4 linked regions of the Astyanax mexicanus genome follow. The protein of the gene in region 4 binds, or shares a complex with, the protein of the main gene of each other region. Links are inferred from orthologs where the notes say so. Each region holds a gene or a part of one and is shown on either strand. Other genes may lie near its edges. The genes, in order: scnm1, snrpe, prpf31 and snrpf.

What was found.
Region 1: snrpf (region 4) and scnm1 share a complex: the UniProt entries of both Homo sapiens proteins name them as parts of the minor spliceosome. The link is inferred for Astyanax mexicanus from reciprocal best matches to the Homo sapiens genes SNRPF and SCNM1.
Region 2: snrpf (region 4) and snrpe share a complex: the UniProt entries of both Homo sapiens proteins name them as parts of the U7 snRNP complex. The link is inferred for Astyanax mexicanus from reciprocal best matches to the Homo sapiens genes SNRPF and SNRPE.
Region 3: snrpf (region 4) and prpf31 share a complex: the UniProt entries of both Homo sapiens proteins name them as parts of the U4/U6-U5 tri-snRNP complex. The link is inferred for Astyanax mexicanus from reciprocal best matches to the Homo sapiens genes SNRPF and PRPF31.

What each region holds. Positions count from the first base shown.
Region 1 is NC_064413.1:39,899,322-39,906,730, reverse strand, and holds the start of scnm1 (sodium channel modifier 1), read right to left. Parts: upstream 3,023-7,409; 5' UTR 2,905-3,022; coding exon 2,854-2,904; intron 2,676-2,853; coding exon 2,605-2,675; intron 1,701-2,604; coding exon 1,612-1,700; intron 1,284-1,611; coding exon 1,189-1,283; intron 1,077-1,188; coding exon 976-1,076; intron 556-975; coding exon 455-555; intron 313-454; coding exon 180-312; intron 1-179. Other genes in the region: lysmd1 (lysM and putative peptidoglycan-binding domain-containing protein 1), read left to right, coding at 4,248-4,427, 5,141-5,448, 5,709-5,856. UniProt on the Homo sapiens protein: As a component of the minor spliceosome, involved in the splicing of U12-type introns in pre-mRNAs. Plays a role in the regulation of primary cilia length and Hedgehog signaling.
Region 2 is NC_064431.1:7,027,282-7,034,896, reverse strand, and holds the start of snrpe (small nuclear ribonucleoprotein E), read left to right. Parts: upstream 1-4,598; 5' UTR 4,599-4,740; coding exon 4,741-4,794; intron 4,795-5,562; coding exon 5,563-5,589; intron 5,590-5,791; coding exon 5,792-5,854; intron 5,855-7,053; coding exon 7,054-7,132; intron 7,133-7,615. Other genes in the region: yod1 (ubiquitin thioesterase OTU1), read right to left, coding at 525-1,222, 1,883-2,110, 3,440-3,545. UniProt on the Homo sapiens protein: Plays a role in pre-mRNA splicing as a core component of the spliceosomal U1, U2, U4 and U5 small nuclear ribonucleoproteins (snRNPs), the building blocks of the spliceosome.
Region 3 is NC_064413.1:29,852,324-29,859,421, reverse strand, and holds the start of prpf31 (U4/U6 small nuclear ribonucleoprotein Prp31), read left to right. Parts: upstream 1-4,094; 5' UTR 4,095-4,235; intron 4,236-6,385; coding exon 6,386-6,601; intron 6,602-6,687; coding exon 6,688-6,748; intron 6,749-6,841; coding exon 6,842-6,925; intron 6,926-7,098. Other genes in the region: uncharacterized protein lmtk3, read left to right, coding at 1-256, 438-522, 2,301-2,425. UniProt on the Homo sapiens protein: Involved in pre-mRNA splicing as component of the spliceosome. Required for the assembly of the U4/U5/U6 tri-snRNP complex, one of the building blocks of the spliceosome.
Region 4 is NC_064415.1:29,819,688-29,826,578, reverse strand, and holds snrpf (small nuclear ribonucleoprotein F), read right to left. Parts: upstream 3,020-6,891; 5' UTR 2,856-3,019; coding exon 2,853-2,855; intron 2,369-2,852; coding exon 2,243-2,368; intron 693-2,242; coding exon 628-692; intron 274-627; coding exon 207-273; 3' UTR 45-206; downstream 1-44. UniProt on the Homo sapiens protein: Plays a role in pre-mRNA splicing as a core component of the spliceosomal U1, U2, U4 and U5 small nuclear ribonucleoproteins (snRNPs), the building blocks of the spliceosome.

The sequences.
Region 1 (7,409 bases), on a different chromosome or scaffold from region 4:
TACAACACATAATGCACCATACCAATGTATTGGTATAGATATTAACATTAGAATTAAGCATTTTAATCTTAACATTTAAAGTATTGCCTATTGAGGCCAAATTCATTTGACTACTCACATAGTAAAGCCATTATGGGCTGCCAAAAACTCTGTGCTGAAATGGCTAAACAATGTCATACCTCTTTAATTTGAGGTAGTGTTCTAGTTCTCTGCGCCTCTGCTCAGTCAGAGGTTCTGACTCGGGTACACTGGGAGCCTTACAGCCCTTCTTTTTATTCATCTGTTTTCCACTCTGGCACTGATCCGGATTTGCTTAAGGGGACAATAAAGTCATTCTATAAATAAACTGCATACATCTGCATCAAAATAACATCTGATGCATCCTAGAAATGCAAGCAAACAAACAAAAACTAAATAACAGTTGTATAATAATAGTAAAATAATAGTAACTTACTTTCTCCAGCAGGTTTGTGTTCTGTGTTTATGCTGCTTGTTGCAGTAGATATGTAGCTCTCTGGAAGACAGCTTTTTGATGTAACGTTCTCTGATCTTTCACTTAAAACAATTAAAAACCATTATATTATGATAAATAAATACATTATACAAATAATTGTTAAAAGAATCTGAACACACTTATATATCCTACTCCAAATATGGAGTGAGTTGTTAAAATAAGGATCTGTTTGGTGTTCTACTGAAAATTTCAACATTTTTAACACTGCAATATATATTGTAAAAAAAAAATCTATTGTAATGCCTTTTTTTTTTTTTTTTACATTGTGCAGCCCTTATAGATATAGACACAGTACATATATATATATCATTTATTATGACTGATATAATGTCAAATGTAGTGTCATATATTGTGTAAGTTGCATAATATTAAATTGACATAATAATCATGTAAAATACAACATACAATAAAAAAATAGCAATGAGTTTCTAATATCAAAATAGAAATGTATTTATCATTACCTGGCCTTTTTATGGCAGCTGCTGTAAGGAGAAGATCTTAGTAAGGCATGGTGGGTAATTTTCCGTGTCTGTGTGAGTAAAGGTGCTGAGCTTCCAGCTTCCTAAACCAATAAACATGGTTTATGAAATTCTAATGGTTCTATCTACAACACTGTACATTTTGCAAAAGGTGGGTACCATTATTGTAAGTTGAACAAACATGCTATTTTTTACCTGCTGGTCGTCTTCCTTATTAACATATTCCTGATGTCGCCTTTTATCAATTTCGTTCTGTAATCGCGATTTTTTGCCATAAAACCATTTTAGACCTAGACAGTAGAAGACCCAAGAAGAAAAGAAAAGAACCCAACAGTGATCTAATACAGACTTGACGAAAAAACAACAAAATACACATTTCAACAAGACAATGCCAGATGCACTTATTTCATTAAGTTAAATTCATGCATAAGGTAAAATCCACCAAGACCTTGTGAAGCTAAATTAAGCAAAATCCAACCACTATTCTTGGTGTTTGAACAGCAATGAATAATGTGTGAGAAGTTTAATTTTAGTTTAATTAAAAGAAAGCACAACAAAGCACTGTAAATGTCCTCAATACTTTTTTAAAGACAACTCAATAATAACACAAATTCCCACCTTCAAGATGGCGCTTTCCTTTCCTGTGTACACTCAGCATATCCACAGTATCAAACACTGGACGATGTGAACAGACTAAACAGCTATACCTATCAAATCCAAAAGAATGTCAATAAATTACTACACATATACAAAGATGATCTTACTCATCTGAAGAGTATATCAACCACATATACCATACATATTGTTTAAAGTGTAGACATATGAATATTATAAGTACAAAGCTTCATTTTGCCCCAGTGGGAGTTGCTTGGTGGCAGGCCAGAAATTCAAGGAAAATAATCCACAATAAAGGTATTTTTGTAAAACCCATAATCTAAAGCTGTGCTGGGCAATGGCTTCTGAAACAATGTGCACAACAGGAAAAACACAACACTGATGAAAAATGCTGTTGTAGCACATAGCACATTCAAGGAGTATATTTATATACTAATTGATTAAATAAATTAGACATTACATTAATTTGTCATTTGGTTTAAAATAATATAGACCTAATTCAACATGTATTTGGTCACATAGCAAAATTGCACCTATTTCTGCACACACTAACTACCAAACGTTGCTTGAACAGGAACAATGATTAACGCTAATGTGAAAAACGACTAAATTTCACTCTTAATGAAATCCACATCACTAAGAAGCAGTATCCCAGATATGGATTAGGTGACCTAATCCATATCTGGGATAATTTAGGTCTAATTGTAGACTATTATTTTAAGTTTCCTTTCTATGGAACATCTCAATTTAAATTGTTGTGTGGTCGAAGACTAGGCATAATCCTTGCTATGTAAACTGCCACACATGTAAAATGCTTTTGGCAACTCAAAAACGCAAAATATAGCTTTAAAACCCCACAATTCACTTCAGGCAATAGTTAATACAAAAATGACAGAAGCGTGCAGGGACTTTAGTGGCTACGCTAGCTAACTCTGATTCTACATCCGGTAGGTTTGCTAACGCTAGCTACAACCTGCATATTTATTCATACACCACCTTCCATTCTTCATCAGAGTGGCCTCGTCTTCGGGTATGAAGTTGGAGAGTAAATCTGCAACACGCCGTTTCTATAAGCACAAATTATTAAATATATTAAACATGCTAAAGCCAGGATTTGTGTGCTTTCACAAACTTTAAAGCTAGCTAGCTACTAGCCAAACCTGCACTTAAACAAATCGTTTAAAGCATCTACCGCATCTCACGGTTCTCTTTAAAGCATACGGGGCTTAAGGTTGTTTACGTTACCTTTAGGACATTTAGCTGGCTCTGGTCATCGCCTTCTCTTTTGAAGGACATATTGTTTTATTAAACTGTGAGTTAGTGAGCTAAGCTTATCTTAGCTAACCGAGGTGCTGCGGACTTCTCACTCACACCGACTGCCTGACTTCCTGTTTTCATTGTGGGACTCGCTGGGCGGAACCATGGCAACGCCAGATTAGCTTAGCGAGCGCATTAGGCTAATGGAAGCTAGTCCATTACAGACACATAACTACAGTGCAGCTCACTATAATTAGCGGCGCGGTCACACCGCCAACACCACAGTCTGGGCTCCGTGCTCTGGTACAACTAGCTAGCTAGCCGTAACTTTACCTAACTATTTTAGAGACTGAGCCGCGTTTAGCTACGCTAACTTAATAAGTAAGTCCGTTATCTCGTAGCTAGCAAGCAAGCTAACTAACTTTTTCGTAGCGTAGTGGTGAGTCGGTATGTCGTATTTTACTAGCTACGCTAGTTAGCTAGCTAGCTAACTGTCTAATCTGTCGTATATCCTGCTACGCAGTTTAAGTTAATGTTGAGCTAGCTAGATTTGGCAGTACGCATTAAGTTAACTTCGCTGGAGCTAAAATGTTTCCTAAAGTGGGCAGATAGCTAACGCAGTTTTTTTTAACTGAAGAGCTAGCTAGTCATGTTGTGGTCTACAGGATGGGCCGGTTAACACGGGTAAGTTAAGTTATTGTGTAACTTAGCTACTATCCTAATAAGTTACTTGCTATCCTAAACTAGCTACAGACAGTGTAAGTTATTTATTTAGTTAGCTAGTTGTGGGTTAAAATCTAATATGTATGTGTGTAAACAGTGAGTAAAAGTGAGATTGTAACGTTGGTTGCTAAATTGTCAAAATGAAATGCAGTTTCCCCCCTCTAGCATAAATCATGTAAGTTAACCCTATCTCGTTTTTTCTATTTTTGTAGCTAAGTGGGTTAACCTCTTTGTATTGAAGGCTAGAGGTTTATATTCAGCAGTAAAGTGGAGCTAGCTAGTTAACGTTAGTGTAACTTTATCTGATGATGGAGCTAACGTTAAAGTTGTAGAAATTACGTAGTTAGTTCGCGTTAGCTAGCTTGTTATCTCTGTTTAGATGGATGAACTCTATAGCTAACTATGTTGTTGGACAAGAAACTGTCCAATCTGGAAAAGAAAACTTGTTTGGCAGTGAGCTGTTTCATTACTATACTGTTTATTGCTGAATTACCTAGTGAACCTAACCAAGCTATAACGTTATAACTAGCTATTTATCTACAGTATTACTCGAGATGTAGCAGCCATCCTATTGTCTTGCTTACTAAAATTCTCAGCCCCAAACGGATCATCATCATCATCATCATCATCATCATCCTCAGTAAACTAGTAAAGTCGTCATGTCCTCGGACCGGACATCTTCACTCACTGGATCACACGGGCTCCTACGCGGTCAGCGCACCAAGTCTTATGGCAGTCTGGTGACTTCGTCCCTGTCACCAGTCAGACAGAAACGCATTGAACACAAGGTTCAACCAGGAGACACTCTACAAGGATTGTCCCTGAAGTATGGCGTGTCTGTAAGTGCGTTTATAAAAGTGCTCTACTCTAAAAGTTGTAAAACGTAGTATTGCTTTTATCCATATTCAAAAAAAAAGTAACTATTTGCGTAGCATTGGCAAGACAGGCAGGCTAAATCCATCCCTTAATTCACAATTTTACATTGTAGTATGCCCTAATGACTGGGAACATCTTATTTGCTAGTAAAATATCGCTGAAACTGTCGATGACGAGCCAGGGATTTATACATGAGTGTTGTAGCTAAGCAATAATAAGCCATAATCAAAATCTTTTATTCTTTGTGTTTAAATTAAAGTTTGGTCATGAGGGTAAATAAGAATTAGATTTTAGATTGCAGTTGTATTTAAACAAATCTAATATTTAGGTGTAAGTAAGTAAAAGAAAGATTCTAGTTCCTAAATTGTCAAAATGAAATGCAGTTTTAAGAATGTACATTACCAATATTGTCACCTTCTAGCATAAACACTGTATCTCAATATTTTTCTCAATCATTTAAATCTAGGTATTGTTCTTAAAATGGTCTTAAAATATAATAACTAGTGGACTAAAAGAACATGACAAACTTAATACAAACACTTTTTACATTATCTACTATGTAAATATTTAATAATCGTACTGTTCACATTATTACTAAGACCCGGGTGCTGCTTCATACACCTGTGTTTAAGTAGCTTGTGCCTATTTAAATGCATCTGTTTTTGACCTCTTGTAGATGGAACAAATCAAAAGGGCAAACAGACTGTACACCAACGATTCAATATTCCTGAAGAAGGTCCTCTTCATCCCAGTACTGACGGAGTCAATATCCTTTGCTAATGAGAATGAGCTACTTAATGAAGTGTCAAATCAAGAAGAGAGAAAGTCACTTCAGCAGGTTTCCGCTGGAAACGGCCAAGCTGACTGTGAAAGCCAAGAAGTGACTTCAGATCTTTCTCCATCGGACTACTTGAAAAGGATGGATAGTCTGATTAATCAGTCTAAACAAGCAGCTGTGAAAACATGTCAAGAAGGAGATAAACAGTGAGTATTTGCAGTAATTGCTTTAGTATATAATCTTATATTGTTAAAATATAAAGTTATGTTTACATACATTGTTATGCTATTATAATAGCATTATATCAGTGACATAAAATAAGGACTAAAATTACAATAATTTAATTTTTCACTGTTATTTCTGCAAAATATTATTCTGCAGTCCATCATTCATATCTAGGAAGCAAATGTCTTATTAATGGGTATGGAAGTTGAACTTTAATTTAGTTCTTTACATTTTTTTCAAGGTTTTCATCAATGAAACAGCTTCCCAGCACTCATGTCTCCAGTGCTTCTTTCCAAGGTCAACAGGCAGTGCTGGGGGCTGTACCTCTCACAATCACCAAACGTACCAAGAAACTAAGAGACAAAGAGGATGAGATTTTTCAGCTCTGACACTGGCTGCTTAGAAGATCTCTCTGGCTTGTGTCAAGTATTTAAGTATGCAAAAAAAACCTTCAAGTTGAAGCATGAATTGAGGATGTCTGATTTCATGCCTTTGAGCTAGTGGTGCTGTGTGTTTGATATTCAGACTACCAGCATCTGTGCACTTGATGACTGATTGATTGTGTTGTGGGAGTGATGTGCTCTGCTACTGTACTAAATGTGCTGCTGTGGCCTTAGGTCATGTTTGCACTCTGGCCTGTTGCCTACTATTGGCTGCATCACAAAACAAACTGTACAGTACTACTTCCTCTGCATTTTCTGTCCCATGACTTCTGTCTTTTAGTCCTCCAAGAAATCAGACATGGCTTGCTTAATGACTGTTAGAAACACTACCTCACAAAAAAGATGATAGTTATGTTTACAAAGCAGAATTCCTCAAATTAACTTGGCATTAACCGATTGAGCAGGTTTAGTCACACTGTTGAGACATGACCGTTTGCTGCAAGTAGCTAAGTGGTATGCAAATGTGATTTTAGTCAATGATTCGACCGTTAGAAATACTTATATAAGCTGCATATTCATATATACATATGGGGAAAAATGCCCAAACATGAAAACATTTCATCTTCCCTAATTTCCTAGGCACATTTCATGTTCTATTTACTAAAGGTATGTGATACAGATTTTGTTTTGTTGATTTGTTTTTGTCACGTAGCTGCGAGACTGCCAGGGTTTTATTTCACAAAGAAGGATTTTTCAGTTGGATAAAAGTAAGCCAAAAGTTTCTGCTGTCCAGTGGAAATGAGCAAACTAAGCCCTCTGAGAAATCCTGCTTTGTAAAATGCTGCCATTGTCAAAATCCATAGTTTTAGTTCTTGCCATTTTTTTGTAATTGTAACTGAGCAGTGATCTGCAGGTATACAATAAGAAACACTGTGCCCTGTGCCCTCTGTTCTCTCATTATTGTAGGGATTTAACAGATTGCTAATCACTGAAGCCGTTACATTAACTAGTGTCCTAATTTCTTATCGATTTCAGTTCAGTGTTTTATTTATTTGGTGTTTGCAGTTTTAACAAGCTGTAGCCAATTCAAACTTGACTTTTTTTGTTTGTGTAAGATTTGTGAGAATGGCCATAAACAGGAATGCCACCAAGTAGAGTCAGAGCAACATTCAGGTTTTCAAGATCTCATGACCCATTGATTAATTGCCAAAGGGAATTGCTCTAGATGAATACTTTGTAGAATGTATGTGGTTGTGTGCGCTGTGCTTACATTGTTAACAATGTAATACCATGCAGAAATATAAAAATCTAGCAGTACCAATAAAACACACAGCTGATGATGAATAAATGCAGTGTGCCCAAAGACCTTTGGATTTGTTAGTATTTTTATGCATAATTTATTTGGTTCCCAAGGAAAAAATATAAAACTGATATACAGTGCATGTGTATGAATATGAGAATGTGTTGAACACAAAAATCCATGCAAGATTTACTTTCAATTAATGGAGCAGATTTAAAAATCTTTTTTTTGTCTCCTCTTTCCATGTGCCCCCCACATG
Region 2 (7,615 bases), on a different chromosome or scaffold from region 4:
TGATCTTTGCGACTATTTCAAGTAACAGTTATTATTGAGCCAGTGAGCTTTTAAGACCATTCAGTGCCATCGATTGTTCGGAAATGTGCAATATAACCTTAAAATTGAGAAAAGAAATAATCACACAAATACAGCAAGGCTATCAACTATGCAATAGTAGTGTTGCAAGTTTTAAACACTGATAACGAAGGCAATGTTTGACATTTTGGTTTGAATAAAAGGCTCACTCCTCATTAGGCAATAAACTCAATTGCTACATATCAAAAATAAAAAGGTGTTGTTGCAATACTGTGCTGATAATACACACCAAAACGTAATGCTCAAGAATGTCAAAAACCCAGTGTTGACCAAGAGTTGTAATTAATACTGAAAAGTTGGGGGTTTTGGGTTAAAACACATTGTGAGGTAGAAAACGGCACCAAGCTGAGACACACAACTGTGAATTAGTTTGGGTTTGGGTTCAGGTGAGAACATATACCGAGTGGCAGTGGGAGGGCACAGTAAAGGTGATCCAAAGCGAACTGTTACACTTCGCCGAAGTTGGTGTGACCCGTCTCCTTGGCATGCTCTCTCGCCTCCTTTTGTCCCACCAGGCCGGTCTGGCACACCATGCAGCGCAGCGCGAAGCGGTTGACGTCCGTGTACTGCCGCTTGCTCCTTGCCTCGTCAGCCAGCTCCAGGGCCTGCGCGAGGATGATGTCGTCGGTAGTGGAGAAGACAGTCTGCGGTGGGATGTCCGAGCCAGGCGTTGCCCTCTGCAGCGGGTCGTAGTGGATTCCGTCGTAAATAAGCAAGACACGTTTCTGGTAGCCAGCATCCTCGCCAAATCGGTCCACACGAACAGTTTGCGTGTCCACGACACAGATTTCGCACTGGTAAAACTTGGACAGGATGGAGACCTCAATAGCACCCCCCCACGTGTCATCACGCCGGATCCAGGTGCAGTATTCGTCGTTGCTTTTGCCCAGTACTGCCTCTGAATAGGCAGCTGCGTCACTGGCCACGATCTGGGCGATAAGGCCGCGCATCTCGGGTGCGCAGGCTGGATCATACACACCCCCCTCCACCACGTAGTTCACACTCGTAAAGAGGCAGGAGTTGTCAGCAGGAACCACTCGGCGCTCCAGAACAGGAGAAGAATTTAGGCATGGGACTTTTGTTAGAGCAGCATTAGTCTGGACTTTTGGTTTGTTCTTTTCTTCTTCTACAATCAGAGTGTCTCCTGTAAGAGAGGTTATGAAGGGAAAGCGGGGAGACAAAAAAAACATTTTTGTAAATGTTCTTTCCAATAACCAAAGATATAGGTAGCAATGTGAACAAATACCAAAAACTATGCAATTCGGTGTGAAATGGACTTGAAACGTGACGACCAGCATTGCAAAATACAGCGTTTTTAGCCAATGCTCCCCAAACAGGCTTATGCATGTTAATGCACGTTAGAAGCTTTGATGAGTGCTCATGCAAATATCGTTTTAAGTTTTCCTAAACTCCTAACGAGCCACAACAGAGCTCCATACAGTTTAACCCCAAATTAGTGTGCTTTTTTTGTTGTGTCTGTCCCAATTTTTCAAAGTGTATACTTTACTAACATTGCCAAATAGTAAGTGAAAAACATCCTGCAACCTTCCCGCTTCTTCCTGCTTGTTAAAGAAAAAATATAAATACATAGTTATATGTTATTTTATGAAATAAATATTTATAGAAAATTCACTGAATTAACAAAAATTGTGCTACATCATAATATAAATTATCAGAATATCAGAATATCCAAATATATATGATATTTAGATATGAATATGGATTTTTTTTTTCTGGTTATATTGCACAGCCCTACTGGGTAAAGTCAATTCATGTTTAAAAATCAACAAAATAAAAACCTCACCTGATTTTATAGGGTAGTCTTTTAGGTGAGCATCTCCATTGCGAAGATCCAAGCTGGATGGTGGGTAGCCCACCATGATCTTCTGAACGTCGCATGGAATTCCAGTTAGCTCCTCTACCTTGGTTTTCAGCTCTTGGACACAGGACTGGTGCGTGAGGCCTTGCATCAGATGGGTTCCATTCTTGGCCTTGCACCTCAGTCGCAGCATCCTGAGTCCCTTCAGTTCTGCTTCGGAACAAACAAACTCAAAGATGTAGTATTACTTTTACTTGCTTTGGCTTCTTGGACATCTTTGTTGTCGTGTTCACAACTGGTTAAACTGTCAGTTCACAAATAAAGAAAACGTGATCCTTCTTTAAAATATTACGAAAAATTTATAAAAGACGAATCACAATGTCAGATATCGTTATTTACAGGAGATCCTAGACCTTGCCTCCTTTCAGACGTAAATATGAACAAAATTGAAATATATGCGTAAATTTGACCATGTTTTAATAACAATTTTACCTTTTAAGGAGCACCTATTTTTGTGGGTGTTTTCGCAATGGATTTCTCACACATGCTTCATCAGATCACAATAAAGCTGCTATTTGAATAGGTAGTGCACTATATGATCCTTTGAAACAAGTACTTTTACACTTTTCCTTGAGTAAAAAACTTGAGTTGTTACTTTAACTTCTACAAAAGTATTTTTAAACCACTATATCTATACCTCAACCTGAATAATGAATGTGAATACTTTTGACACCTTTGGTTAAGGCATTCCTGAGTAAATAATTTAATTCCTGAAAGGATATAGTGTGATTTTGGGGACCTAAATAAACCAAGCTGCTGACCACTGCCTCAGAACCAAACAAAAGGGAAATAAACAAAAGACACCTGGTTGTAATTGTCCACAAACAGTCGGTGAGGTAGCTGCCTGCCTAAAACAGACAGTCAGGTAGGTAAGTAGCTGACTGTGCTAAAACTGATGCAACAGCTTGGCAAACCCCTAAAAGTGTATCCAAATTTTGCTACATACTGTTAACCTGCTTGTAATGCTTTAGCTTCATTTATAATAATGTTGCACTGGGTATTGTAAGCTAATAATAGTTAGTAGCTTAGCTAACGTTAGCTAGCTAGGAAAGCTGCGTTAAACCACATAACCCAACCCAGCATATAGCTATCTTACAATAACCTAGAATATTTGCTAGTTAACTAGATTTAAACTCTAATAAAGCAGCCTTGTAACTCCCTTTACCCAAATTAATAAGAACTGTATTTTAGCTCAGCAATGTAACGTTGCATTAACGTTAGCCAGTCAGCTAATCTACCAAACCTAGCTTAGCTATGCTGGTCTTAATTCAGCATAATAGACAACTAGCTTATCTTAGTTTAGCAAGCTAACAGTTATCTTAGCAGCATCTCAGCGTCAATATTAAATGAACTTTTGCATTATTTAATCAAATACCGCCCTAGTTAACATCGCAAATCTGTCCCCAACAGAACCGTGCTCATATACGGTGGCTTTTAACCGTTAATTCGCTTAAATTGTCTGTATATCGTAGCGTTTCTCACCTCGGAGCGCCTTCCAAATAACAACACACTGGCCAACAACTGACATGCGCACTGCGTCACACCGCGTGCACAAAACAGTGCAGACGCAAGCAGTTGTTGAGCTCATGTCATCTTTCCACGTATGTCTGTGTTTATTTTTATGTATCAAGTTTTATTACATTAACTAAGTTACACGTTTTATGTATTTACATAAAAAACATAGCTTGTTATTTTAAATATAAAATAACTGCAATATTTAGAATAAGAAAATATCTTTTAACATTTTCACATTTTGCCACCTTACAACACAAAATTGTATTTGTAATGTAGTTGTATTTTATTGCGATTTTAAGTGATAGAGCAACATATAGTCTATAATATATATATATATATATATATATATATATATATATATATATATATATATATATATACACACACACACAAAAAAAAAACTATTAATTGGATTTCTGCATAAATTGGACAATAAATGTGTACTGATTTTCAAGTCACAACAATAAGCAAACACAGTCTGCTAACACTAGTGATGGGTCTGACGACCCTGAAACCTCGACACATGCGCCGAGCTGTCAAGGCGAAACCCCGTGTCGGTGCGCGTATCAAGTTAAGGAAAACCACGTGACCGATACACTTACTGTATCGTTTGGTAGCGATGGGTCTGACGACACTGAAACTTCAGCGCATGCACCGAGCAAACAAGGCGAACCCCTGTGTCAGACCGCGTATCATTTTAAGGAAAACCATGTGACCGATGCATTTCTTCGCGCAGTTGCTTGCAATGACTTTCTTAGTCCAGCAGATGTCGCCATTAAGTGATACAGCAACACAGTTTCAACACAGTGTCGATACAGTTTGGGAAATGTGCCATACACCCAATGAGGCTTCATCTGCCCATCACTATTGGTGAATATAAATCACGCGTCGCACAACAGAGCTCTCAGAAAAAAAAAATGTCATAAATCCATAGATAATTTTAAGTTCAATTTTATATGAATCCCTCTTCTTTTCTTAGTTTGAACTGTGTTTGTAAAATCAAAAAGAACAAAGAGAGAAGCGGTAGTAAAGGTAGTAGTTTCTGAGCGCAGGCAGCGTCTCAGGGCCGGTCTCTGTGTGGTTAGTCCTCCTGGTCGCTGCGCGGCGCTGTAGTAAAAATCAGCCCCAGGCAGCTCTCTCCGCGCTTCCCCCCGCCATCGCTGCTACACCAACGTGAGGAGATCGTTCCCCGGCGAGTTGTATTCTCCAGTTATTACAGTTATAATATTTATATTACAGCAGCAGCTCCAGCCCCGCGGATCAGCAGCATGGCGTACAGAGGACAGGGCCAGAAGGTGCAGAAGGTGATGGTGCAGCCCATCGTATCCTTTACTACTGAAACTGATTCACTGCTGGAGCTCCACTCCATTCATTTAGCTTTAGCTTTAGCGCTAGCTCTAGCTTAGCCTCTACTCACTTCTGTAATGTTACCTGCGTTAGATAACCTATCTAGCTTATCTTATTATATCGGACTACTCTAACTGCTATATTACTCGCGGTGGGTTAAATTACTGCAGATAGAATGTGTTTGGGGGAGTTTATAAAGAGTGCACTGATTCAATAACTCTGCTAACATTAGTTACATATAAGTTACGGGGTTAGTGTTGGGGCTGTACTCATATATATATGTATTTCTATCTGTATATCTGCATATCTGTATATCTATTTATGTGTATATCTGTCTATTTATCTGTATATTTATCTATCTGTATATCCATCCATCTATCCGTAATTTTGAGCATAGGGCAGGTTCTTGTTTGAGTTTGATAGTTTAGCTAGTTGGACTACAAGCAAGATAAAACTTACCAAGCTAATCTAGGCAATGGGGCTGAGCAATACGGATCAATTGTTAAATGGCGATATAATATACATATGTAAATTCCAAAAGGTAATTTGCATAGGTCATGCAGTAAAATGCATATAAATAGTATAGCATATAATAAATTAGAATATGTTGTGGTATTAAATGTTGTAGAGCAGTGTGTGTGTGGAAATAATCAGGTGGACTAGTTCGATATTTAATGAGAATGGCTTTGCTAAATTGTGATTTTTGCCTGTGCTAGTTGTTTGTCCTTGACTTCTGTCTACAGAATCTGATTTTCAGGTATCTACAGAATGTAAGTGCAGCTTTTTTATGGTTATTATTAATGGTCTTGTATGTGGGTACACAATAAGATAACAATGTGAATAATAAAATAAAGTGCAGACAATTTATTCTCATTTTATGACTGCACCGTATTTAATGGTTATATTGTGTATCACAATTGTGGTTCTAAGTTTGTGCTGTTGTTAATAATCTTTTTGTCCTCTTTTCTGCAGCGATCTCGTATCTCGGTTTGGCTCTATGAGCAGGTCAACATGCGGATAGAAGGCTGCATTATTGTAAGTAATTATTTACTGACCTAACTAATCAGAGAACACTATATTTGTACTTTGCAATAACATGCTTTCGCATTGCAAGCAGTAGCCACACCGCTATAGGCTGACCCTCATGGGTTAGTTGTTTCCCCAGCACCAGGACAGTTTGGCGCTGATGAAGACCACTGTGGAATGCGTTGCGTTTTCACACCCATAACCATACCTTTGCCATGCTACTGCTTACCACAGCAGAAAATGCATTGTAGTCCAAACATGGGCAAGTGAGTAATATTGACGATTAATACAGTTAGTTACACTCATATAAAAATATCAGGAAAAAGATAAGAATCAATGCTTTTTTTCTGACGTTAAGACAGATGTGTGTCTACAGATGCTGTAGCTACACCACACATCAAAACACTTGTAGATGTGACTCATTTTTAAAAACACTGGCCTGTTATCATCAGGCAACCCTTGGCATCAGCAGTAGCACAACACAACCACAATTGGCTAGCTTCCAGCAAAGCAGAAAGCAATGTGGCATACCGATGGCGATGTGAAAGCTCCTTAAGCCCACCTGACCAAATAGACTATGTAATGTTTTCTCCTTGTTTGCTTTGTGTATCTTATCAGTTCCACCCAGCAAGTAAGAGCAATTTGTAGTTCTATAAGTACAGACTGTAGTTCTGCATCTGTTTCTGCATACTTTATTATTATCCTTATTTTACCCTGTTCTTCAAAACTCAGGACCCCTCAAGGCCACCACATTTCAGTGGTGGGTCATTTATTTTCAGCACTGCAGTGACTGTGGTTTAGCATAACAAATGTGTTTGGGATGTTGGTATGTGTTCTGCTGGTGTTGGTACAAGTAGATCCGACACAGCAGTGCTGCTGGAGTTTTTAAACACCTCTGTGTCATTGCTGGCGTTAGAGTATTCCACCAACTAGAAATATATCCAGTCAAGTGTCTTGCTCTAAGGTGGTCCTGTTGGCTTCTGACTATTGAAGAACAGGATGAATGGATGCTAATAATGTATGCAGAGGAACAGATGTGACTAGAGTGTGTATGTATAGCTTTCAGTACAGACTAATGTCTGTTTGTATTTAACCTGTGAAATGTATTTTTTGGGGGGTGTATTGGATTCGTTAATGGCCTCTGTTGTATGTTTGTTTTAATGATGTTATTTTATCAGTGCTATTTCTGTTTTTATCTTCTGCTGTAGGGGTTTGATGAGTACATGAACTTGGTTCTGGATGATGCAGAAGAAGTCCACATGAAGACCAAGAACAGAAAGACTCTGGGTAAGGAGTAGGGATAGGACTATGTCAATGTATTTGGCACTATTTATGAAGCTAACAATGTCTAACTTTGTTTAAGATGGACAGTTATTTTAAAATAGTGCAGTTGTGGGGTCCAGTTTTTTTTTCTTTCTTTAATTTGAAGCAGCTGGCAGAGGTGAAGTCAGTTCTTACACAGGAGCATTTTCATACAATAACTAATGCCTTCATTACATCGCAGCTGGATTACTGTAATGTACTTTATTTTGGGGTCAGTCAGTCCTCCCTCAAACGCCTCCAGTTAGTGCAACATGCTGCTGCCCTAATTTTAACAGGATCATGGAAGGGAGAGTGAATAACTCCCATTCTGCCCTCCCTCCACTAGCTGCCTGTAATTCAAACTGATTCTTTTATTATTATTTTTTTTTAATCTTTAAATGGATTCACCCCACCTTACTTTGTTGAGTTACTCCATCCTCACGTTCCTGCATGATGCCTCAGGTCAGC
Region 3 (7,098 bases), on a different chromosome or scaffold from region 4:
CTGGGACAGGACTGACCACAGAATTGGTCGCAGACGGGGAGTTTCGAATGGAAGTGATCCTGAAGAAGATGAGGAGGAAGAGCAAGAGGATGAGTCATCCAGAAAAGTTATTGTCATCACGGAAACAGATGTTCACAAGCGAGTAGGCCTGAGGAGCTTGCTAAAATCGCCCAAGGAACCCTTGGACAAAGAGAATCGTGATCACGGAAGAAATGTGTCCTTTTTTGATGATGTCACTGTCTATCTTTTCGATCAGGTACCGGTCACACATTTAACTTTGTGTAGAGACTAAAATGTGTCTAATATTCTAAAAGAACTGCCTTTAAATCATGTTCTTTGTCCAGAGAGAGGAGAAATGTTGTTAATGTAATTTTCTTGTTGCAGTAAGGCAGATGTTTACACTTGATTTGTTCTTTACTAATTAACTTATCTTGTAGGAAACTCCAACTAATGAGCTGAGTTCTGGCTCTGCACCCACAAGCCCGTCTCCCCTTGGAAAGCCTGCTCACTTCGATGGACTTGGTGAGGGCTTTCACATTTAGCTGCATAAAGCTAATGCAGAATTTACATAAACATATTAAATTAAATACATTGCAGAAAACTGAGAAGACCATTATTTTACATCATCATGTTGTGAACCATGAATATTCATTCAAAATGTTTGCTTGCTGATTAGATGAATACAGAATTTACATAACTTACTTTTAAATATTTTTTTAAGCATTTTACATCAATATGTACTAAATTATGTGCATTCCTTCAAATATGTTTGTCCACTGGTTAGAGAACTGCTGCCTTTTCACAACGAATGCTTGAATATAAAACCACTTCTTTTAAGTGCCAGACTGTCTGACTGTGAGTTTGAGTTGCATTATTTATTTGATTAATTTTTCACAAATCAGCACTAAATTTAGATGCTCTCATTTCACAGCCCCTCTTGGAGTGAAAAGCAGTTCAAAGCTCTGCTCAAGTCTATTTCAGGAGTACTGGATCCTGAAATCCTGAGCTTTTATATAACAAGAGATGAGTAGGAGAAGTATAGTGCTGTTGACCCTTTGATGTGGTTTAATCTGAGTTAATTAATCAGCTTCACACTGTGTAATCTAATGTTTGCATTTTAGATCAAATTAGCTAAAGCCTTTAATCTGATAAAATGCACTTCTTAAAGCTAAATATGGAAAATTATGTCTTTATTTATATAACTTTGGTAAAGTGGGCAGGACAACTGTTGTGAGAAATGACTAACACACTTCATTTACTTCTTTCACCCTTGATATTGGTTTTATAGACAAAACAAGACAACCATATTAGTGCTAAAAGAAAATGTAATTTTTTTAAGCCATCGTTGCACATTTTGTATTTAAAACAGTGGTGTAAATGTGAAGTTACTGCAGCAAGCTTGCACTAGTGAGTTCAAGCGCTCATGGAAGTTGTAGTTAGTTAATCTTAGTAATTTATTCATGAGACATTATAACTACATGATGTGTGCAGTATTGAATAATACTTCCTTACTGCCTAAGGCATCTACTTGTGGTAGGTGTAGTCCATCAAGTAATTTAGATGTTGGGATTGGGCCTCAGTAGGCCACAAAATACAAAATGCCCCAAAAGTTAGATTTAGAAGTAACCTGTATAACTTGTGAGATTTATAAACAGACCTCTTGGAGTCCATCTTAGAAATCCCAAGTCTAAGGCAGTATTTCTCAATTAAAAAAAATGAAGAAATGTTCAAAAAATTGCACCCTATGGTAAGCAAACCTGTTTCAAATCCAGTATTTGTTCTATGTACATTTGTCTCTTAATAATTCCCAGACCTACGAGATTGTTAAGGAATCTTAATTTTAACATCCTTGCTAAAAGCAGACCAACACACAGCACTAAGTAATAAATTGCATGTAATCATTTAAATAGTTTATCTTTAACATTATTTTAAAACAACACCAGCAACTCTTTTTAAAACTTTTTTTTACTACTGTCAATGCAAGTCAACTACAACATTTAACAGAGCTTTGATTTGGTTTAGGGTATTTTGGTGAGGTCAGTCCAAAATCAACAATATCCATATTTTAACAGTCTCATAATTCATCCACTACTAGCGTACATGATTCCTTATGTATTTCTTTAAAGTCTGTATCACTTCAGTATTCAGGAAAAAAATAATAAAAACATTGAATGAGAAGGCTTGTAGAAAAATGCAAAATATTTTTATGTTTTTTTTTATTATAAAAAAAAAGTGCTGTGGGACATTAAACTTAGCTTAATGCTTTATCTTTTTAATCACATGTATGTTTTTTCTGCTAGGAAGCAGCAATCACAAGACCAGCAAGAACAAAGACCACATAAAGCCAAGGTCTCCCACAGGTGTCAGTTCAGTCCCACCATCACGCTTCACCGTCAGCCCTGCCAACGACCCACATTTGGTGTGACCCACTATTCCTTCCTATACACCTGGAGAAAATGTAGCTCTCTGGAGTGACAGAGTTTCTCTGTGGTCATCGTGAAGCACGGTGGCTTCTGGAGGTTATTTTTTTAAATCAGGCTAAAGACTCCTGTTTTCAAGGCTGGAGGTGTTCCAGGTTTTACTTTGCTGCGGGAGCAGGTCCGTCCTGTGCAAAGCAGGAACCTCTACAGCCACGCAGCCGGGAGCTATGTAAAATCTGAAATGGAGTTTACGGCTATGCAACGGGAGTCTTATTGTGTACCAGCTTAACTGCTCTATTTTCATGGCTTCTTGAAGTACATTTGTATTCTGATCCTCTTCCACACAAGAGGAAGCACTTTCTTTGACCAGTACCTGTCTATTTGTGAGCTCGAATAGAAATATTGCCATTGTAAATTTGTTCTCATTGCAGTCAAACATCCTCGTAGGCTTGAGAGGGAAATCCCACCCTCCCTATCTAACAGTGCAGTGCTCTTTTAGTATTTGTACAAATGGATAGTGAATTTACTGTACAAACTCCATTTTAAAACCATTTATTTTAGATGTATTGTTAGAACGCACGACACAAAATGAACCTGCTACCTACTGTTATGTTTTATACTGTATTTTTTATTGCAAATTGTTGTTTGTTTCTGTATTTCTGTTTACTTCATTGTGTATTTAATTATTTATTTATTTATTTACTGTACGACTGCAACAATTGCACAATTACTTTGCTTTAATTGTTTTTGGATGCTGTGCATTGTTGAAATAAGTTGCTTCATCCATCTCATTAAATAAAACCAGATATTTCCATAAGTATAAATGCTTTGAAATATTTTATATCATTTACCGATTTCTAGATGTTAGTCTGTATCTATTTGTCATTTACTGTGTCTGTTTATAAATGTTATTTTTAACTGTGTATTTGACATGTTCTCGTCATTACTTACATTCAAAGCAATTACTGTTGCTAAGCATGGAGGAAAAATGAAGGCAGTGCACATGTCCATGAATTGATCTGTTTATTCAACTTTAATTTGATGATCAGTGATTGGTGTCGAAGGTGAATCAGAACATTTGTAACGTCGCTTTCAGCATCTGTTTCATTGCGAGGTTTCTTGAGGAGGTTCTGGGTAACCAGGAGTGGTAAAAAACAAAGACAAAAAAATAAAACAAAACGAATAAAACTAAATCACATGGAGACTGTGAAACATTTAATGAATTGTTTGATGAAAATAAATTGTACTGGCTTATAATAAATACCCTGCTGTATTGAAATTTTTGAGAAATATTTAAAATTTCCAAACAACTTTAATTTCATGTAATTTATTTAAAATAATTGATTAAAAAAATATAATAAAGCTTGATTGATATGGGCGCAAATTATTGAAATTTTAATTTAAAGCTGTGAATTGTGTTTTGTCAGAGCTGGTTTACGCTTCCTCAGATATAGCTCTGAAAAAAAAGAGTCCACTTTGACCAAATATTAAACTTTTTGCATTATTTGAGGTCTGAAAGCTCTGCTTTTTTGTAATTTCAGCCATTTCTCGTTTTCTACAAATAAAAAAGTGGTCTCTTATTTTTTTTTTTTTCAGAACTGTATGCCTTTTGTCTCAGTGAAACTACATTTCCCACAAGGCTTTGCGATCTACTGCGCTATTAACGACGCGTTTAACGTGCGACCGTTACGACGAGACTGCGTTGTTTGTGAATGGTTTTGGTTAGTTTCGCTCGTTTTTAAACAAACTGTATTTTGTTTGTAGTCTGTTACCCGTGCCGTGTTCCGTTGTGAAGGGTAGGAACGCGTTTATAAGGTAAGTAGTAATGAGTTTAGTCCTCTTTTAGAGCTTACTGAATGAAATTATAGCGAATAGTTCAGTCCGGTTCAGTCGTTAGTTACTTAGGCGTGCTTAGTTTACTGATAATAAAGTATTTTAAACTGTTATTTCTGTTAGAAACTATCACTGTAACTGCTTGCATTACCAGAACTTAAAGTGTGTGGGTTAGCACTAAGCATGCTAAAAAGTACTTTTAAATCATGTAGTTAAGCTAATCTACTGTGTTTTAGTCTCTTTTTAGAGTAAAGGAATTCTGTTGTACTTGCTTGTAGCTTACTAGCTCTCTTCAGTTCCAATTTCACATGTATTTAGTTTAATGATGTGTGAATGAACAGATAAAGACTGAGTTTACCATTCTCATATCTCCATGTTCTAAACAGAGTGGTCAGGTAGGCTCTAAGACCTTTTTGCTGTTTAACATTTTTTAAAAACATTTTCTTCAGTTTTTGTTATTGAGAAATACTGCCTTAGACCTGGGATTTTTAAGATGGACTTCAACAGCACAACAAACATCCTCAAGAGGTCTGTTTATAAATCTCACAAGTTATACAGGTTACTTCTGAATCCAACCTTTGGGGCATCAGCATCCTTAGCTGCACTATATTTGTTTGGGTAACCAGCAAAAGCTGTTACAGCCAGAAAAAAAGGTCTAGGGACCTACCAGACCACTCTGTTTTTAGAATTAATGTAGGCCTATGTGACCTATATTTGAAGAAGTGGTAACCAAAGCACACTGGTGCCATTTATTTTTCTGTCTTTTTTTCTAATGTTTATCCAAATTTTGTCCCAGTTTACACAGTTAATTACCCAACCCACTCATTAGGACCCCTATCATAATGCCCCAACATCAGGAGGATGTAGATTAGCACATGCCTCTTCAAATACATGCCTGCCAATGCAGCATTGCCCTGTAGCCAGTGCACTCGAAGGAAAGCACATCGACCCGGTTCGGATACATCAGCTCACAGAATTAGCTTTTATTTGTAATTAAATTAAGCTGTTTACTTTAGAAGGTGATTTGTATCCATATATAACCTTTTTCTTGGTACAAAGTTAAAGTTCCTTTATTTATCTCCCAAGGAAGAAATTTTGCTTAGACACAGGGCATGCTGCAATACAACAGACAGACAAACCTAGACAGCAACATGTGACCAGAAGCCATAACATTGCTGTACATCGATGACTTGGTGTATTACATTTTGTACTTCTACAGAACCCCACAAGCCCCATACAACAAGGGTATACTTAGACCTCAATGTTATTTAGCTGCTCTGTGGTACAAAATGGTGTTTGTACCTGTTATTCCTGCACAGGGGAACCTTGTATCTCCTACATGAATTCATGAGCTGATACTCAGGATACAGCGCATGTGTGTTATCAGATATAATATTTGCTTCTGGTATTTAAGGATTTATATCGAACAGAAGTGAATCATTTAGTTTTCCCACCCTCTATTAACACTCTCCAGCCCGTAAAGCTGTGGCTGCAGTAGATGCAGGCTTACTTAAAATGGACAAAACATATAGACTGGTATGATATATCTTGAGGTCTGCTATGAACAGAATCTGGCACAATATTTTGAATGCATAGACCTGACCCGCCTTGTTTCAGCAGTTCTGACACAAGACACATTGCTGTGGCCCCTGGAGATCAGTAAGAGTTGAGGGCCCAACATTGGCGGACCGCCTAACTCTGGTATCAAACCCAAACCCTTTTCCTCAATGGTCCAGTGCTTTAACAGCTGATCTACCACTGCCCACAAAGGTAGAGGTGGTGTAATGATATTTTCTAAGCAGTGGTTTGAGTATTTTTGATTTGTGTACATTCCTGTAAGATCATAATTAGATTATATTACTATTTCCAGGATGATAATTTATTATGTCAGAAAGTAAATGTAGCAATGAGAATAATACAAATGAGCAGTGCAGCGTGTTTTTCCAGACTGGTCAGAATTCCTTAAAAAATATGCTCATAAGTTTTCTCCTTTAACTTCTTTCAAAAGCATAAAAAAGCTTTGCTGATTGGAGCATACTGAGCAAAAGACTAAATAGGTGTCTAAATAATTTAAGAGACCCAGCTGATAACAGATATTACAAATTGACTCCTAATAATGCCTTTCTTCGCAGATGTCTTTAGCGGACGAGCTGCTGGCAGATTTGGAGGAAGCAGGAGATGAAGGTGAAGATGGACTGTATCCAGGAGGGGAAGGCGAGGAGAGTGATGGCGAAGACAGAGAGAGAGAGGACAATGGAGGCCTGGAAGACATACCAGAGGAGATGGAACTGGACTACAGTGGGGCAGAAAGCGTGTCGTCCATCGCAAAGTTACGAAACAGCAAATCAGTCAGTACCCCAATGAGTAACTCAATCACTGTTCATAACACCTGCTCACTTTCTCTGTCTCTAAACTGTGCTTCTTGTTTTGGCAGTTTTCTGAAATCATGGAGAAGATTTCTCAGTATGTAGGGAATCCACGCAATAACACAGATGGTAAGAAGCAACCTCCTGGAATTAGGTTGGTGGTCCACGTGGAGGTGTACCCTGAATAGCAGCACTCATTTATTGATCTTTTCCCACTTACAGTATCCGGCCCTGTGGAAGCAGACCCCGAGTACCGGCTCATTGTTGCTGCCAACAACCTGACTGTGGAAATCGATAACGAATTGAGTGAGTTTGGTTTAGTCATTTTTCTTCTTATGCTTTACATACGTTTTTAGTTTTATTGTTTGGATTGTGTGTTAAGGAGGATTAGGGGTGTCACGATTCTCTAAATCCTCTACTCGATTGTATTTCCAATTTTAGGGTCACGATTCGATTGATTTGGTTCTCTTTTTTCTTTT
Region 4 (6,891 bases):
GAAAACATCCATACATCTTGAAATAAATTTGGAACACAAGCAAATACAAAATGCATAATTTTATTTGCACACTTGTGCCATCATAATTATGCTTCTATAGTGTACAAAACATTTTAACACATGAATTACAAAAGGGGGAGAAAAAAAAACAATGTTTCACATACAACTAAAACTAAATTATACATCTTTAACTGTAAGCATACTCCTCATTCCCTCATCTCCCCATCTTCTTCCTCCTCTTCTACACCTCTTATATACAAAACATTGTTACACCTGTGAAGGACAAGAAAACAATTAGTTAATTTACATTCTCTCCCCAGTTTACAGATAATTAATTAGTACAGATCTTATATCTCTGTTCCTGGTACATCTGACACAGTTCTATTCATTATACATTTCACAATAATTTGTTTTTGGAAACAGAACCAAAACAATGGATTGGCTCAGGCCAAATTGCTATCTAGCAAACAATTAACATAAAACAGGTTGAGGTTAAAGAAATGCACAATCAACTTAAGAATAAGAGATACATTTTCCACATTGATTGACTGTTGTAGCGAACAAATGCACTACAGTGGTTATATTGTATATGCACTATGCAGCAATATCATCAGTACAGCCACTCACCTGACAAGCACCTCGCCAAGGTGACCTGCTAAAGCTCCATCCACATACTCCTCTGTGTTTGCCAACTAAAGACAAAAATAGAAATATGTTGAATAATTGTAATGTTTATCTACTAAACTAAGCACTTTTTAACTGTCACAATTATGCCCTTGAAGTCATTATAAATACGTAAGATGTTTTTTTTTACTCTGAAGTAAAGCGAAATACACTCTAATCAAATGTACAATCAGTGTTCTTAAAGAATTGAAGGCATACTCAAATAGGTTTAAAAAAAAATACTGTAGGAAAAAAGTATGATAAGAATCTTATTGCCAACCTCTAAAGCATACTGTCAACTCCTGGCACACAATAAGTAAACAAACTTAAGATTTAAGAGTCAAATTAAGAGAACAATGTAAACTGTAGACACTCAAATTTACTCAATACTTCCATTATGGTAACCATAGTTGAACAGCCAAGACATGTTTGATGCCTGAAGTTTGCTTTGCTAGATTTGCTGCTCACCAGCAGAGACACTTATTTCACCCACTACCACAACATTGTGAGGGTGAATAATGCTCTACTATAGGGGTGAATAAAAAAAAAATACCATGAAATACTGTGATATTATTTTAGGGCCATATCACCATATGGCCCTAAAATAATATCACAGTATTTCATGGTATTTTCGCGATAACGATACTCTTGGCGATATAACGAAATACTGAATTTAAAAAATGATTTCAAGAATACACTAATGCACCAAAATAAATATTAAATTTTCTTATTGCACGTGATATGATATGGCACACCCTTAACTGAGATTTTAAAAAATACCAGAAATTACTCAGATTTGTAACAGAAGTCAATGATCCAGAATGTCACGGTACTAATAATGCGTTCTACACATCTCAATATATCCAGGATTAAAGTAAAATAAATGACACTGGACAGATATAATCTGTCTCTACTAGAAATAAAATGGAAAATGAGAACAGTGTGAATTTTCTTTTGCTAAAAACAGCATAAAAGTAGTACCCTGATGTGATAATTGGGGGTGGGTGATATGGCACGATATTTCAGGGTATAATATCGCTCACAATATCGTATTATCGCGTGCGAAACGATATGGCACACCTCTACTAGTAGAAGAGCCCCAACTACCCAACATAACAAATTAGCGGGTGAAGATTCAGTGTTACAAATGTAAATAATTACGTAAATGGCAGTTCATAATAAAAGCAATAAAACTACTCACCCCGCTTCCCTGAACTGTATCATAATATATAGAATCAGGCTTTCCAAATCCTACCGAGACTTCTGCCGCGAGAATTTTCAAATATGGCGTTTTTTCTCGTATTTTTAAATACGTTAAATATACACCGCGGTAGCGCGGTTTCACATGGTAGCACAACTCGTCAAAACACCGGCTCTTTTTAGTGAGCCGAACCAAAAGAACCGATTCTCTAGCTAAAAAGAGTCGGAATTTCGAATCACTAACACAAACTCCAAAATAATCCTACACCAAGAAGGGTAACAAAAACATGCTGGAGATATTGTATAGCTAGACAATTATTCTCTAAATTACTGTACATCAGTTATGGACCAGGGTAAAGTGTATTTAGAATAACGTTACCTGCATGTTCATGTATCCATCCACTGATACCAGGTAACCCTTGTACTCCATACCCCACTTCAGCTTCACCATCACGGGCTTTCCGGTCAGACCGTTCAGGAACGGCTTCGGGTTCAGCGGTAAACTCTGTGGAACAGAAGGGGAGTACAGCGGTTCAGTCTATAGTTAATAAACATAGTGGGGCTTTACTCCAGCAGACTGAGCAAGCTGTAGTAGCTAGCTAACGCTAACACTAGCTTCGCTAAAGTTCATTCACGAACACTACGTTTCTCTAACGTAAGTTAGCTACTGCTACACAGCTAGCTAAAGCTAACTTGCTAAGACTATTACAAACTGAATATATTGTTACACAAGCAAAGACTTCAGACTTAAACCACATTCAGTTCACCCATAACACAGCATTAACTAGTGAAAGTCTCATCTGTATGGTATTTTACTTCAGTCGCTTTAAACTAACTTACTTTAAATGAATGAACTGCTGCAGCGGGTCAAAGCAACCGGTTAGCATTAGCATGCTAGCTAACCACAGCACTCAGGTCCTCATCACTGTAATCACAGTTTTAAACTAAACCCGACCGTGTGGTTAAAGGCGGTCACGCTGAGTACTCACCATGTTTAATCAAAAAATATCAGGCTTCGGAAAACCTTCAAAAGTGTTTCATTCAGACGCTTGTGTTTCAGAAGCTCACTCGCACGCCTTGCCGCCAGGAAAGGGAAGGACCACGAGTGAAGAGTCGAGCTCTGACCCGCAAACAATAGAGCCGCCCGTACCACAGCGCCCCCGCGCCGCGCCGGAGGAGCTTTACAGCGGCTACACTTCATCACGACCAACAGGGGGCGCCCGGTACAGAGTATAGAGGAGTGAAAGATAACTCACTTATTATACAGCTCTAGAACAAACATTACGAGACCTCTTCAGTTTCAGAATCGGTTTATCTGATTTTTCTATTTATAGGTATATGTTTCAGTAAAATGAACATTGTTGTTTTATTCTATAAACTACGGACAACATTTCTCCCAAATTCCAAATAAATTATCGTAATTTACAGCATTTATTTGCAAAAAATGAGAAATGGCTGAAATAACAAAAAAGATGCAGAGCTTTCAGAACTCAAATAATGCAAAGAAAACAAGTTCATATTCATAAAGTTAAAGTGGAATAATTCTTCTCCACCAGTCTTACACACTGCTTTTAGATAACTTTATGCCACTCCTGGAGCAAAAAGTTCAAGCAGTTCAGCTCGGTTTGATAAGCTTTGGCTTGTTATAAGGTTTTCAGTTTGGTAAAATCAAAGAAACCCATCATTTTTAAGTGGTTTCTTTTTTTTCCAGAGCTGTATATCTGCAGTGAACGGAGCCACATGACAGGGCACGAGGGAAAACATTACATTGGATTTTACATGGGTGACAGGGGGAGAGGAAAGTCGTCTGAGTTTTTTTCTTAGATTAATAAATTAGATAAAAATATATAATACTTTACTGTACATTCCCACTCCTGCACACTATTAACACTTACATACAGCAGTATTTTGTATATATCCTATAAGGTATAGTTTATTTTTCAAGCCTCAGTTAGCATTTTCTATAGTTTTAGGTTTCTCACGGTGCTTGTACTATCTATCTATCTATCTATCTATCTATCTATCTATCTATCTATCTATCTATCTATCTATCTATCTATCTATCTATCTATCTATCTATCTATCTATCTATCTATCTAATGTTGTTCTCTTCAACCGCATTACCCGCTCTGGCCTTTAGATGGCACTGCCATTCAAAAAAATGAATTCGCCGTTCAACATTTTTATTATTATTTTAAAACTCAGTCCCAAAGGCAAAGTGAGTAAATAAAGACTAAATAACAAAATGCTTAATTTACGGTTTTACAGTAGGGACATTTACGAGATGCATTATGCTGGGTAGTACTTATGAAGAATCTAAAGCCACCTACTTAGCCTGGTAATTACGTGAGGAGTTGAATCAGGTGTGCTTGAGTAGTCCACCTTCCGAACACTGGAGGGTGACCCTCCAGGTCTAGAGCTGCACTACTTTTGGGAACTTAAACAACGACCCAGATGGGACTCAAACCCACAATCCCCAGCTCCGGAGGCTGATGCCTTATCCATTAGGCCACTGGGCCACAAACACAGTGTGTTTCACTGCCCCTTAAGGCTAAAACCTTTTCAAACAACTATTTTATGAAAATAATGTAATATCTTATCTTATTGTTTCATGTAATGGGACAGTTATTAAGATATTTTAGTGCTACTTGTATCATGTATGTTTGAATATGAAAATTATTTATAATCATACATTTAAATGGCTTAAATGTAATTCCCAGCACATTTCAATCTTGTTTACACTTGTTGGAGCACCACCTTAAATCATATACCTATCCAGTTGTTCAAATTGGTAAACCAAAAATACCACATTCATGAACATTTAAGTATTTTCCTCTTTTAAAACATGCAATTCCTGACTGGTCGAGTCACATGTGTTAGAGCAGGAAAAACACAAAAGATCAGCCCCATTAGACCTTCCATGTATTTTCCTGATCGTTTCCACAGATTACTAGTACAATTATACAGGGGACACCTTCTTAAACATGTAGTTATTTATCATTTATACGTGGCCTTCAAACACATTTCTCAGTGGTAACTTAAACAACAACCCAGATGGGATTCAAACCCACAATTTCCAGCTCCGGAGGCTGATGCCTTATCCATTAGGCCACTGGGCCACAAACACATGTTGATTCACAGCCTCTTGAGTGCAAAAACCTGTTAAAAATTATTCATTACCCTTATGCCCTTACCTTGTACTCATTATAGTCCTGCACCCTGAGGGTAAAGAGGCAAAAATTTACCCAAAATATTTTTGAGTGGGAACAACTATACAAATAAACAACGAACTGTTTAACGTTCTGTTTTACAGAAGGGACATTTAGGAGATACACTATAAAATTACTTACACTGGAAATCATTGCATGGCTGCGTCCAGAAACCCCAAAAGTGTCTCAAGAGGCTGATGCCTTATCCGTTAGGCCACTGGGCCACAAACACATGTTGATTCACAGCCTCTTGAGTGCAAAACCCATGCCAAACTATTTTTATTACCCTTATTCCATTACCATATACTCTTTTCTGCACCCTTAGGGTAAACAGGCAAAATATACATTGAAATTGAGGTTTATTGAAACAAAAAAATCTCAAAACATAAGTATTTAACCAAAATGTTTATGAGTGGGAGCAATTATACAATGAACTGTTTAATCGTCTGTTTTACAGAAAGAACATATAGAAGATAAATTATAAAAAATACACATATCATTGCATGGGTATTACTTATGATGAATCTTAAAGTGAGTTTGGCAGTTGACCTACTTAAAGCCACCTACTTTGCCTGGTAATTCACTGAGGAGTTAAATCAGGTGTGCTCTGGTCTGGAACTGTGCACCCCTGTTGGGAACCTAAACAACGACCCAGGTGGGACTCGAACCCACAATCCCCAGCTCCGGAGGCTGATGCCTTATTCATTAGGTCACCGGGCCACAATGTCTTGGTAATTAACAGCCTCTAGAGTGCCAAACCCTGTCAAGTAATTATTTTTTTCCCTTATGCTCTTACCTTATACTCTTTACAGTCCTGCACCCTAGGGTAAACGGGATAAAAGGATAAATTAAAATTGAGGTTTATTGAAACATCAATCACAACACAGAAGTATTTACCCAAAATGTTTATGAGTGGGAGCAGCAATAAAATAAAAAAATAATTACACTGGAAATCATTCCAGGGGTAGTACTTATGAAAAATCTAAAAGTGAGTTTGGTTGCTGGCCTACTTAAAACCACTGACTTTGCCTGGTAATTAACTGAGGAGTTAAGTTTGGTGTGTTTTGACTATAGTCCAAGGGCCAAAGTCTAGAACTGTTCACTCCTATGTGGAACCTAAACATCGACCCAGGTGGGACTCAAACCCACAATGGCCAGCTCCTAGAACTGTTCACTCCTATGTGGAACCTAAACATCGACCCAGGTGGGACTCGAACCCACAATCCCCAGCTCCGGAGGCTGATGCCTTATCCATTAGGCCACTGGGCCACAAAGACATGTTGATTCACAGCCTCTTGAGTCCAAAATCTTAAAAAAAAGATATTTTATTACCCTCTAATACCCTTATGTTCATATTAATGCTAGTTTTTTGAAGTATGTTTGACTGTGTATTCGAAATGTAATTTGATTTGACTTTTATTTATTTATAAGGAAAACAATTTCAGTATCTGCATATTATATTTAAGAACTAACAGTATGTTGCTGTGCAAAAAAAAAACAATTGTCTTGATTTCTGTAGATTTTTAGTTTACTACATAATTTGGACACACAAATTTTCCCTTATTTCCCTTATATGTCAACATTCCTTGATGTATGCACAAATAGAAAATCTCCAAAATTACCAAAAAAAACCTCTTTTTACATTGACTTCCATATTAAAAGTTAAGATGGTTTCACCTCTTTTCTGAAAAGTTGCTGTTTTGGAGATACTTGTTTTTATTGGACAGTAACAGTATATGGAATATATAGAACCAACAGTGAAGTTACTTTTTATCTTATGAGTTTATGAGTTTTATACGTAATTTGGAATCAGGTTTGC